3 linked regions of the Canis lupus familiaris genome follow. The protein of the gene in region 2 interacts with the protein of the main gene of each other region in a pairwise test. Links are inferred from orthologs where the notes say so. Each region holds a gene or a part of one and is shown on either strand. Other genes may lie near its edges. The genes, in order: SLC25A46, FHL3 and TTLL10.

Region 1 (4,125 bases), on a different chromosome or scaffold from region 2:
CATGCTTTCCTCCTTTCAGCTTTTCCCTTTTTGAGTATACAGATCATAGTATTAACAGAAAATGCCTCATTTTAACCGTGTAAATCATAAAAAGATAAAAATCAGCTTTGCTGCCTAAGAAAGTAACTGTGTGCACGAGCATTTTGAATTATTTAATAACCTTCCAGGACTCCTTTTGGAACCTTACAGAAAGAAAAGCAGACAGGGTGGAAAAGCAAAGTGTCTGACACTAAGTTACGCATCCTCTTCCACATCCTCGTTTGCTCCTATGTGATATTTAAAGTCTACGCCTCCCAGTTGACTCAAATCAAATAAAAATCACTGTACTTCCAAGTTAAAATGAAGAACGAACATGTCGAGAATATACTTAATATTGAATGGTCGAGTCTAATGACTTCAAAATGGGAAGAGGCAGTGATTATTCCCATTTTATGAATTTTAAAAAGTTGAGAGTGTTTAGACGACAGCGTTGCAATGAAAACCCAGGCTTCCTGACGTCCCAGGGCGAATAACTACGCCTTGATTCCAAAGTCTTGAAATTGTTTACTCTTTGGTGGTGTTTCTAGGTGAGAAATAGGAAAGCAGGGGATGGGAACACGGAGGGGGCGTGTGAGAGTCTAGGAAACAGATACAATTGCTAAGACTAAGAGAAAAGGAAGGAACCGGGTAGGTCCGGCTTACTAAGCCTCCACCACAGCTCATGAGCACCTGGCGCTGTGAATGACTCTTCTCTCCACCTTAAGGGCTCCAGACGCCAAGAAAAGGCCTCCGCTTCCCAGGGAGGCAGAGCCGGGCTCGCAGCAGGGCTGCCGAGGCTGACTCTCCAGCACAGATGCACAGATGCAGAGCTCGGCAGCAGGTCAAGGCAGGGAGCGCAGGGAACCAGGTATCGCTCACGTTCCCCAGGAAGCAGCAGGTAGTAGCCCGATCTCCTCCCTCCGGATGGAGGCCCGGGGACCTCCCACCACCAGCCTCCCTGACAGCACCCGGGAGGAGAGGGCTGTGGGTGGGGCGGGGAGGAAGCGGCGCTGCAGGGAAGGGACGACGGAGCGGCGGACGGAGGGGGGGCGGAGGAGGGTAGACGGGAGGGGGGACAGAGGGACGCAGGGGTGGAGGAGGGGGAGGGGGCACAGGAGATGGGAGGGGAGACGGGGGAAGGACAGGAGGGGGAACGCGAGGGGATGAGAGAGGGAGAGGGGACAGGGAACGGGATGGGAGGGGGACGAGAAGGGGGCGGAGGGGGAAAAGGGAGGGTCGGGAGACCGACTGGGGGGTGGGTGGGAGAGGGACGGACGGGGGGGGGCGATGGAGGGGGACGGGGCAGGGGAGGAGGCGGAGGAGGGGGACCGGGGGCGACAGGAGATGGGAGGGGGAACAGGAGGGGATGAGAGACGGAGGAGAGAACAGGGAACGGGAGGGGAGAAAGCACGGGGGAAGGGGACGGAGGGGGAAAGGGGAGGGTCGGGAGAGGGAACGGGAGAGGGATGAGGGGTGGGACAGGGGACGGGGGAGGGGATGGAGGAGGATGGGAGAGGGGATGGCAGGGGACGGGGGGCGGAGGAGGGGGGACAGAGAATGGGAGGGGGGAAGGGGGAGGGACGGGAGGTGGGGACAGGGAACAGGATGGGGGAAGGGACGGAGAACAGGGGGGACTGGGAGGGGACAGAGGGGGAAAGGGAAGGGTCGGGAGAGGTGAAGAGGGGGTGGGATAGGAGACGGGAGGAGGGGATGGAGGGGGACGGGAGGGGTGTCAGGAGATGGAATAGGGACGGGGGGAGGGACGGGAGGGGATGGGGGGACAGGGAACGGGATGGGGGAAGGGACGGAGAGGGGACTGGGAGAGAACGGAGGGAGAAAGGGGAGGGTCGGGAAAGGGGACTGGAGAGGGACGGGGGGATGGAGGGGAATGGGGGACAGGAGGGGGGACAGGGGACGGGAGGGGACGGGGCGAAGGGACCGGAGGGGATGAGGGCGAACTGGAGGGGGAGGGGACGAGAGGGAATGGGCGGGGACAGGAGGGGACACAGGAGGGGACGGACGGACGGACGGGGGCAGAGGGCGTGGGAGGCGGGACCGACCGTCGGCGCCCCGCGCGGTGTGCAGGCTGCGAGCCGGGCTCCCCCCAGCCCCCTCCCCACCCCCCCGCGGCCCTCACCGCTGCTTCCCCTCCCCTCCCCTCCCCCTCCCTCCCCCGCCCCCCGCGGCCCTCACCGCTGCTCCGCCCTGGCGCCCCGCCGCCGCCGCCTCCGGGACACGGCTGTTCGGGGCCGTCGAGCGGCGTGGAGGGCCCGGGCGCGCCGTAGGGCGGGCTCCGGTCGGCCCAGTGCAGGTTGCGGCTCCCGGGGATGTCCGGGGGGCTGGTCACCCAGTGGGTCGGGTCGGACGCCGAGCCGAAGGGCCGCGCGGGGAAGGCGCCGCCCACAGCCTGCTCGTCCCGGGCCCCGCCCCGGTAGCCCAAGCCGTCGAAGCCATCCGGGCGCCGCGGGTGCATCGCGAGCCGGCAGGGTGACGCCCCCCCGAGCCGCCGCTGGGGCCGCCGCGACCTCGGGCCACACCGCGCCGCCGCCGCGTCCGGGGAAATCTGACAACCGGAAGTCACGGCGCCCACCCGGAAGTGCGCCGGCCACGTGACCGCAGCGTCTTCCGGCGCTCGCGGGACGGGGTTGCCAGGGAGACGCGGCGGCAGCTTAGGGCGGAGCCGCCAGGCCGGGGCTGCTCGCGGGGGGCGGCGGAGGGGCCGCGGGCCTGGGGGGCGGGTGCCGACGAGCTGCCGGAGGCCCGGGCCGCCTGGAAGCTGGCTGCGCACGGTCCGCGGAGGCACGGGACGCGCCGGTGCCGCTGACTCCGGGCCGGCCCGGCCGCCGAGGCCCACACGGGGAGCGCGCAGGGGTCGCGCGGGGGAGCGCGCAGGGAGCTCTCGGAGCTCTCGGAATGTGCAGGGGGCGCGCGGGGAGGGCGCAGGAGGTGCGCGGGTAGCTCTCGGGGCGCGCAGGGAGTTCGCAGGGGGCGTGCAGGGAGCGCGCAGGGAGCGCGCAGGGCCGCAGGGGGCGCGCGGGGAGTTCGCAGGGGGCGTGCAGGGGACGCGCAGGGGGCGCGCGAGGGGCGTGCAGGGAGCTCTCAGGGAGCGCGCAGGGGGCGTGCGGGGGGCGCGCGAGGGGCGTGCAGGGAGCTCTCAGGGGGCGTGCAGGGAGCGCGCAGGGGGCTCTCAGGGAGCGCGCAGGGGGCGTGCGGGGGGCGCGCGGGGAGTTCGCAGGGGGCGTGCAGGGGGCGCGCGAGGGGCGTGCATGGAGCTCTCAGGGGGCGTGCAGGGGGCGGGCGGGGAGTTCGCTGGGAGCTCAGGGAGCGCCCAGGGGGTGCGCAGCTGGCTCGCTGGGAGCTTGCAGGGGGCGTGCAGGAGCGCGCAGGCGTTAGCGTTGCGGGCTGTTGGCCTCGGTGCAGCCCCGCCCCGCGTCCTGCCCGTAGGGGGGCCGTCGAGGCCTAGGTGGAGGGAACCCCTTCCCCGTCGGCTCTCCCGGCACAAACTGCTCGCCGGACGGGGGGAGTCGAGCATGTTGCTTCCCGAAGGCCACAATACAGTTGCAAACGGGTTTCTTTCTTTTTTTCCGGGTGCATCTAAATCAGTCCGTGTATGTAAAGCCCAATGATCCTGTTGAAAATTGAGGCTCGCGGGGGACAACTGGGAGGCCCTGTGAGCGGAGCCCCCCACTACCCCGACGCCACCCTTTCCTGCAGGTGGTGCCTCCACCGCCTGGGCTGCTAGGCGGCCTGGCTCTTGGGCGAGGCCCTAGGGCTGCCCAGGAGCGCAGGAGCCCAGACCGATCTACTGGGCGACTAACTTCTAACCAGTTGTGCCCCCTGGTGAGGCAAAGTATATCTCTGTTCCTTACAAACGATTGAATTAAAGATGCCACAGGCCCAGGTCCAAAACTTTTAAAAGGAGAAGGAGGAAAAGGCAGCTGTGTGTGTGTGTGCGCGCGCACTTCTAATAAAAATAACATTTCACAATTTCACATCCCATATCAATGAAGAAAGGATACAGTAGTAGAAGGAGAGCTGGGCAGCCTGTTGAGGGGAGGGAGCAAGAACAGCCCCCTTCACAGCTCACCCCGCAGAAATTCCAGCTGC
Region 2 (4,125 bases):
GACCCACCTGTCCCTGCCCATCCCCCTTCCTCCCCTCCCTCCCACTTTCCCTGGCACAGCAAGAGAACTGAAGAGAACCAGTCTTATATTCCCTCATGGCCTGGGGAGGGGGGGTTACGGAGGAGACTGCTCAGTCTGCCAAATGGCTCTCAACTCTTGTCCTCAACACACACACAAACACACACTCACACACACACCACCCCTACACCTGACACACACATCTGGCACCTTCCAGTGAGCCTCCCAGAGGTTAGAATGGCTAGATAAATGGCTGTGGCACAGTGTATAGTAGGCCCAAATGTGGCTTGGGGTGGGCATCCTGACTTCTTCCCTTACTAGCTGGGTGATCTTGGGCAAGTCACTTAAGGTTCCTGGGCCTGTTTTCCTCTACGCCTACCCCCTTCTCCCGGGGTTGTCGTCAGGCTGAAATGGTGGTGCTTGGAAAGCACCTGGCAGAAAGGGACTCCTCAGTGAATGGTAGCTGTGGGCGTTTTTATGATCAGCCCCTCACTCATACGGGGGTCAGACAAATTTCTGAGCCAGGCCTGGCTCAGGGAGCTGGCCTGGGTTTTGACCTGGACATTCTCAGGGTAGATTCAGGGATAGACCAAAGAGGGACCCCCACCCCCACTCCCCAGTTCCACTAGGGGAAGTGAAGAAGCCCAGGCCGTGGGGCTGCCTGAGGAGATCAGTGGGGCCGGCCTGGTGCCAATGAGCATAACTCCTGAGACCCCTCACACAGGTACACAGGTGTACACACCTGCATGCTGCTTGGCCTCCCATAAAGAGAAATCCCATCCACTATTTCACCAGATCTCCCAAAAGGCAGGCAGAAGAGCATGTCATTCCCATCTTACAGTCGAGCACAGGGACAAGCCAGGCCCAAGGTCACTCAGGCCTCGGAGAGCCCAGGTTCCCTGCTTCCCAGCCTGGAGCCCTTTCCTGTTTTTCTCTCTAAAAATGCTGCAGCGGTGGCAAAACGGGGTGGTCAACATTTTAAGAGCAGGGGTGTGGGAGATACTCGGTGACATCACTAGCACAGGAGTCTCACTCTTCTCCCCCAGCTGCTAACCCTGCCATTGGAAGGCACCCAGAAGCCTTTCCAACTGCCCATGCCAACCGTTCAACTCCTTTGCCCCCATCCACCCTGCACTGTCGGGGAGGACCCTGGCCAGGCCTCACAGCTGTGAGTCAGGATCAGATCAGACCCCTCCTCCCAGCTCCCAGGAACTGACAGGAGATTTAAGGGGAGAAACCTAACCCCCCCCAGCCCCCAACCTCCGGTATCAGGCACCAACCCCAAACTCTCCCTCTCCCCACCCCTCCCCGCCATGGGGCCTGGGAGTCAGAGCAGTTTAGGGGAAGGAGGGCGGGAAGCGGGATCCAGCAGCTGCCTTGGGGACAGGAGAGGAACAGTTCATTCACCCCGGGTCCCCCAGGGCTGAAGCAGCATGTCCATGATTTGAGTTTAAAAATAAGTTGGGGCTGTCTTGGTGTGTGCCTGGGGCTCCTTTCCGACGTGCCTGTCTCAGGTCCTTGCCTCACGGGGCTCTGGCTGGCCCAGAGTCTCTGTTTCCCCGCACCCCTGCTTCCCAGTCTTTCTCAGGCCTCCGTGTCTCGGGGTCTGTCTGGGAAGCTGTCAGGGCGCCTCGAGCAAAGCCAGCTGCGCCCCACGCAGCGCGACTGAGCCTCTGCACACCTCAGCTGTCTTCGTGTTTTGGGGACCTGTGTCCCGGGCTAGTGACCTCTGCTCATTTCTACCTCTGTACACCCAAATCTCCGTAACTGAGTGCCTCCAAGGGGTTCCCACCCCGACCCCTTCGCTTCCTCCTCGGAGCACCTCTGTTCCTGAGCGTCCCTGTCTGCAGTTTCTGGACGGCTCCATAGGCCTCACAGAGGCTGATCTGCCACAGGGCTAAGGAAGCTTAGGCTTCGGGGCCCCTCACCGCCCGGGACCCTGCAAAGCCCTGGGAAGGGCGCTGCTCCGTGTTCACCGGGGTCAGGGGACGCTTCTCCTTCGAGTGCTCCAACCCACAAAACCTAGGTCCGTCCAGACGCCTCCGGTCTCCCTCTCGGGGACTCTACGCCCCCAGAACCTGTCCCTGACTCCCTGACTCGGGTCCCCGTGCAGCCCCCTGTCCAAGCCTGCCGCGCGGGCCCGCGTCTTGGTCTGGCTCCGCCCGGCTTTCAGGGAGCCTCAGTTTCCCCAACCCTCCAGGTCCCGCGCTCGACTCTGGCTTCTCCGTTTCAAACTTGGCCCCTTCCCCCCCCATCCCCAGGTGTCGAGCAGCCCCCCCCACCCCGCCGGGCGGCCGGGATCGGGGCGGTCCCGGGGGTGGGGGGGCGCCCTCCGGGGCTCGGCGCCCCCCGCTCCAAGCGCGCCCCCCGGGGCGTCGGGGGGCCCCGGGCGAGGAGCCGGCCTGGGCGGGAGCTCACCTCGGAGCGGGCGGCGGGAGCGGGGAGGCCGGGCCGCGCGTCCCTCGGTGGCTCGTACCTGCGGGCCGGGCGAGCGGGGCCGGGCGGGGCGGGCGGGGCGAGCGGGGCGAGCGGGGCGAGCGGGCGGCCGGCGGCGCTGCCGGAGCGCACGGACCCAGCGGGCGAGTGGAGCGCGGCCCCAACCCCTCCCCGAGGAAGTGCGCGCCGGGCCCGCCCCGCCCGGACCCCGCCCCCGGCCGCCCCCGCCCCGCACCCCCAGGCCGGGGGCCAGACCCCGCCCACACCCCCCCTCGGGCCCGCGGGTCTAACCTGGCTCGCCCGACCTTCCCCGGCGCCGGGACCCCGCCCCCGTCCCCTGCTCGCCTCCGCCGTCCCCTCCCCTGCTGCACCCCCTGCACCCCCCAGCAGCCCGCTGGAGACGGCCTGCTGCACTCGATCTCCAGCACGGGGGCCGGCACCCAGCCCACCCAAGTCCCCTGGGGTCCTCACTCATGGCCTCTTCGTGCGCCCCCACTCCCACCTTCCAGCTCATCCCCTCAGGGTCACACCTAGACCCAGCTTGTAAAGGGGCCTTAATCAAGCCTGGAGGCCCGGGAGTGTGTGTGTGTGAGGTGGCTTGACTCTGCTGTCACGGCCCTCCCTATCAATGGGAACCAAGGTGTTCTCTGGAAACAGGGAGTGAAGAAGGGACCCCCCCACCTCCGCCTCCGCCTGACCCCAGACTGGGCCTTGACCTTCAATGATTTCACAACTTTTGAGTGGCAAAAACAGAAGTACCCCCCACCTCCTCACCTCCGGAGGCACCCTGGGACAGAGAAGTTCGGCCTTGGGTTTCCACAGTGCCCAGGAATAGTTATGACCTTTGAGGCCCAGGGGAGACCCTAATCCTTGGCCCCATGGTTTTTGGGTTTCTCAGGGAGGGGTGTGAAGAGTGTGCGCGGATGGGGCACCGCAGGGTTGGTGGAGGGAAGTGGAGGGAACCCTTCCTCCCCCACCTCTACAGTTTCCAATCCTCTGGCTTTCTCCCTGCGCCCCAGGAGGGAGGACTGCTGCCTGCCAGGGACACAAGGCCCCTCCAGGTCCTTGGGCCAATCCCCCTGGGATCCTCAGGCTTGTCACTAGGCATAAATAGCCTCGATCTAGAAGGGTGGGGAAGGGAGGAGGAGGCTGTGCTGTACTGTTTGCAAAACAGGAGACAACAAACTGACTCTAGAAATAACCTCAGCATCTAGAGTAGAGACTCAGGTGCCACAGGGCTTCTCCCATCCCCCAGGCTGGGTCTAGCCAAGCTCTCAGAACAGAGACTCATTTGCTCCCAGGCCAGGCCTCCTGAATACCTTCCTCTCCCATCTCTAAATCATATTCCTGTCTTCCCGGATCCCAAGTCACCGTCGAGGCCAGGTTTCCTCCCCAAATTAAACTATTTGCTTGGTTATTGTTCCTAATGCCTAGATTGTCATGAGGCCATGAGGGCAGGACTGGGTTCTTCTTGTTCACTACCACATTCCCAGTACCTACTCCTATGTCTGCCATATAATAAATATTGAACGAATGAATGAATGACAGACGCTGCTTCAGTTTCAACTCCTCCCCACCCCAGTTTGGACCTCAGGTACCTGCTACCTGGAGTCCAGGGAGTGACCAGCCAGCGCATGGGTGAGCCTTTCTCTGGCCTTTGTCATCTAGGTG
Region 3 (4,025 bases), on a different chromosome or scaffold from region 2:
GTTATTTTAGGGTCTGGGAATGCTAAGATTTTTTTTCCATATAAATTAATGGCACTTGGCTTTTTGCTTTGCGCCATCTCAGCTTACGAAAGCCTTCATAGGAGTGCTCTGCTGCTAGTGGGAAAACCTAGGTTTATTACTTTCACAGAGAAGTAAGCCATGAGTTATTGTTTCTTGTCATTGAAGTTAACAGAGATTAAGGGCAGAAAAAGGGACTGTGGGTGGGCACGCAGGCGGTGCATTGTGGTGTCTGCACAAGGCTGGTGGAGTGACAGGTGGGCATGTGGTGCGGGTGTCAGACCTCCCGGCTCCGTGAGCCTTCTGCCTTAGCGCTTGCACTTTTCAGGGTTTCTCTGGACATAATTCTAAATACAGAGACAAAGCTTTGTGGTCAGAGACGTTGAGGGCATGCGTTGATCCCACGGGTGAAGGATGGCCACCAGACAAGACAGGGCTGTGGAAGCAGGGACCGCACTGCCGGGGGCAGGGGACAGCTCGACTCTACAGTAAATTTTGAAATAAACTTTTTACCTGGTGAGGTAAAAAGACCGGCAGGAAGCAGCACCCTGGTGTGATGAAAGGAAGACCCCGGTGAACCTGCAGAACATGTCCAAGCAAAGGAGATGTCAGGGTCCTGCCTGCGTCTTCTCCTCAGACACACGAGTGCCGTCATAGGTGCTGGGAGGTGCTGACACTGTTGGGTGGGTTGGGGCCTCCTGGCTGGGGGTGGACTCTCTGGGAGGGCGGCCTGTGTGGGGCTGGTCCGGGAAGACAGACCTAGTTCTGGGCAAGGGGGCTCGTCCTGAGGAGCCACCACCCCCAGAAGGTGCACTCCTCTCGGCCTGGCCCGAGGGCTCGTGATCCTCATGCAGCAGCTCTGGGGGTGTGGGTCGCCCCCAGAGGGGGCTCATCTCAGTCAGGACTCCCCTCTCCTGACCCTCCTTCATCTCCCTTCTGCTCCTGGGCAGAGTCCTGAGAGAACCCACGGGGTCTCCGGTGGAGAGGGTGCACAGGACGGTGGCCACGGCCCTCACGCCCAGCAAGGACTCGCGCCGCTGGCCCACCTCTCCCTCTTACCTGCCCAGCAAAGTGGTGTGAGTCCTCTGCCGGGGGAACAACAGTGGTGGCCTGGCAACAGTCTCTGGGCAACAGCAACCCTGTGGCCCAGAGGTGAGGGGAGCAGGGCAGGCACAGGAGGCCAGGCTCTGAGGGGAGCTGGGCAGGGGGCTGTGGGAGGGAGGGAGGATGGGGCTTGGCCAGAGCCAGAGCCATGGTGTGCATGGTCCCCACCTGGGCCTTGGGTCCTCCACAGGAGCACCCCGCAGCCTTCCGAAGACCCCCAAATCCATGGTAGGACCCCAGGACCTGACCCTGTGCTCTTTCATCTCCTGTCACTACAGCCTCTCCTGTGTAGTGTCAGCCCTCCGGTCACACAGCCTCATTACCCTCAGAGTGTCCTGTGGGTCTCAAGGCTGTGTCTGCCTATGGTACCCTAACTTGTGGGGCTGGAGGGTGGCCCCCAAATGAGCCCATGTCTGAAGCCCCAGAACCTGCAGATGTGACCTTACTTGGAAAAAGGGTATTTGCTGATGTGGTCAAGGATCTTGAAGGGAGATCCTCCTGGATTAGCTGGAGGCCCTGCATCCTCACAAGAGGGAGAAAGAGAGAGGAGACCCGGGAGAAACCACGTGAAGACGGGAGCAGGGGCTGGTGTGGCCACAGCCCAGGGAGGCTGGAAGGGCAGGAGGGGGTGTCCCCTAGAGATGGGAGAGAGTGCCCCCCGCCCCCACCTGCATCTCTGACTTGTGCCTCCTGGACTGTGAGAGAATACATTTCTGTGATTTCAAGCCCCCCGTCTGTGGTTATTGGTCACATGGCCCCAGGAGACAAACATATCCCTTAAACTGCTCCTTTTGAGGTCCTGTGGATGACCCCCACAATGGCGAGGCCTCTCTGACTCCACACAGAGGCTGATGCACCCCCAGGCTCCTTGCCTGTTTGTGCCAGTGCTGGGGGCTCCAGGGGTCCGTCCTGCTGGACTATGGTCTCTGACTCTGCCCTGAGGTGGCCGTGCATCAGCCTGGATGTCAGAGAGCTCATCCAGCCAAGCCCCCAGCCTGGGCCTGCTGGGGCAGCGGTGGGTATGGGGAGTGGGGCCCCTGGTCTTCTTGGTGGCCTGAGCACAGAACCCCCTCCAGAATCTGTGCTCCCTCCCCATATCAACTCTGGGGGCCCAGGCCCCTTGGAGGCACCCAGGCTGGGCCAGCCCACCACCCTGGGTCCCCAGCCTTTGCCGACACAAGATCTTGAACTCCAAAACCCTGCCTCATAACCTGTCCAACTGGATGGTGTGGGCGCCGCCCCAGCCTTTCTCATGATGATAATGGCCTGGGGCTGGGCACGTCACTGCGCATCTGCACCCTGGAGCGAAGCAGGGGAATCATTAACTTGCCATGGGGCAAGTGGGCAGCCCAGGGCCTCCAGGCTGGGGGCCGAGCCCTTCCTGCAGGGCTGGGGGTGCAGGGGAACGGCCCAGCCACTTCCTGCCTGGTTGTGTAGTTGGTGACTTTGCTGGGACCAGGCTGTGCCACCTGGACACTGGGCCTGGAAGTCCTCCTGTCTGATGGCGTGCAGCCCCTGGCCTCTGGTACTTCTGCTTGGCTCCTGCAGGTGTCTGCATGGCCCTCTTGGACATCTGCTCCTAGAGGCCTTCCTGGGCCACTGTAACCCCACTCCCCCACCCAAGCACCACCTTCTTGACTGCCCAGGCAGCCCTCCTAGTTGACAGGCCCTGCCTCCCAGCCTCATCACCATTGCCCCTCCTTCTCAGGCATGTTCCTCTTCCCCACAGTATGCAGGATTGTGCGAATCTGCAAAAGGTTCTCAGGAGAGATTTGGTAATGGAAGGAGAGAAGGTGGGGAGGAGCTTCCCCAGAGTCCCCAGAGGTCCCCTCCTCCTCGACTCTGGCTGCTGAGCACTTGGGCCAGACGTAGACCCTAGGACCTAATTAGAATTCTTAAGGGAAGGAAGGGGCTTTAGGGGTCAGCCCTGAGGCTGAGGATGGATTAGCATCCAGAAGTTTGGTTTGAGGATTACTTTAGACAGGGGACATGTGCATGAGTACCTAGTGGGTAGAGGAGAGGGGAGCAGGGAGGGGGCTTCAGGGTGGGAGCCCAAGATTAAGGGCTGCCTGCCCTTCGACCCCCATGGTGATGGTCTGGCACCCGGAGGGTGCTCCCTAAGCTCTGGAGATGGGCCTGTGGGGACCGGGTGGGGCCCTGGGCTAAGGCTGTAGAAGAAGCAAAGGTGGCCTGCACCCCCTCCACTACCCATCTCACCCTTTCCCCGAGCTTCTTGCTCTAGGCAGAGGGGTAGGGTCTTATCCAGGGGGTCTCTGCGCCAGCAGTCTGCAGTGTCCTGGTGCTGCCTGGGGCGAGGGGCAGAGCATGGGTGCGCTGCTGGCTCTGCATGCCCTGCCTTGCCCTGGGTTGGAAGTTTGAAGATCTGGGGCTGCTTTGGTCTTGTCGTCCTCAGGCCCCGCTCTGCCGGGCTCAGGTGTGTAGAGGGGTGAGGGGTGAGGTCACTTCCCTGGAGAGGGCTCTAGGCGGGGCTCCAGGAGAGTGACTGACTATGGCCCCTGGGCTGGTTTCTGGCTTCAGGGCAGTGCCGACAGCACAGTACGGTGTCTGCCTCACCTGCTGGCAGACCCTCAGGGTGGGGCCGCTGGACCCTGCAGCCCCACTCACCCACACACCTGAGAGGAAGAGAAGCCAGCCACCTCCATACCTCACACCCTTTATTATGCAGAGAATCCGTCATGGCTATGACAGAAAGGCCAAAGCCTGGGAAGGGCTCCCTGGTCTGGGTCATGGCCTGGGTCACAGCGGCTGGGGAGGACCCTGCCTGACCTGTGCCCTGCAGGGGACACAGGGGCCCCGGGCCTGGGCAGGTGTGCACCGCCTGGCTCAGCCACGAGCGGGCCCACAGGCCTCGTCCTCCCCCTGGTGTCCCCGCAGGGGCTCCT

Evidence for each region.
Region 1: the proteins of FHL3 (region 2) and SLC25A46 interact in binary tests that used the Homo sapiens proteins (3 or more experiments, as listed by UniProt). The two-hybrid records come from large-scale screens. The link is inferred for Canis lupus familiaris from reciprocal best matches to the Homo sapiens genes FHL3 and SLC25A46.
Region 3: the proteins of FHL3 (region 2) and TTLL10 interact in binary tests that used the Homo sapiens proteins (3 or more experiments, as listed by UniProt). The two-hybrid records come from large-scale screens. The link is inferred for Canis lupus familiaris from reciprocal best matches to the Homo sapiens genes FHL3 and TTLL10.

What each region holds. Positions count from the first base shown.
Region 1 is NC_049224.1:1,725,415-1,729,539, forward strand, and holds the start of SLC25A46 (solute carrier family 25 member 46), read right to left. Parts: upstream 2,564-4,125; 5' UTR 2,492-2,563; coding exon 2,212-2,491; intron 1-2,211. UniProt on the Homo sapiens protein: Transmembrane protein of the mitochondrial outer membrane that controls mitochondrial organization.
Region 2 is NC_049236.1:4,653,191-4,657,315, reverse strand, and holds the start of FHL3 (four and a half LIM domains protein 3), read right to left. Parts: upstream 2,524-4,125; 5' UTR 2,437-2,523; intron 1-2,436. UniProt on the Homo sapiens protein: Recruited by SOX15 to FOXK1 promoters where it acts as a transcriptional coactivator of FOXK1.
Region 3 is NC_049226.1:56,846,525-56,850,549, reverse strand, and holds part of TTLL10 (inactive polyglycylase TTLL10), read right to left. Parts: intron 1,228-4,025; coding exon 1,078-1,227; intron 981-1,077; exon of another isoform or gene 948-980; coding exon of another isoform or gene 778-947; intron 598-777; coding exon 532-597; intron 1-531. UniProt on the Homo sapiens protein: Inactive polyglycylase.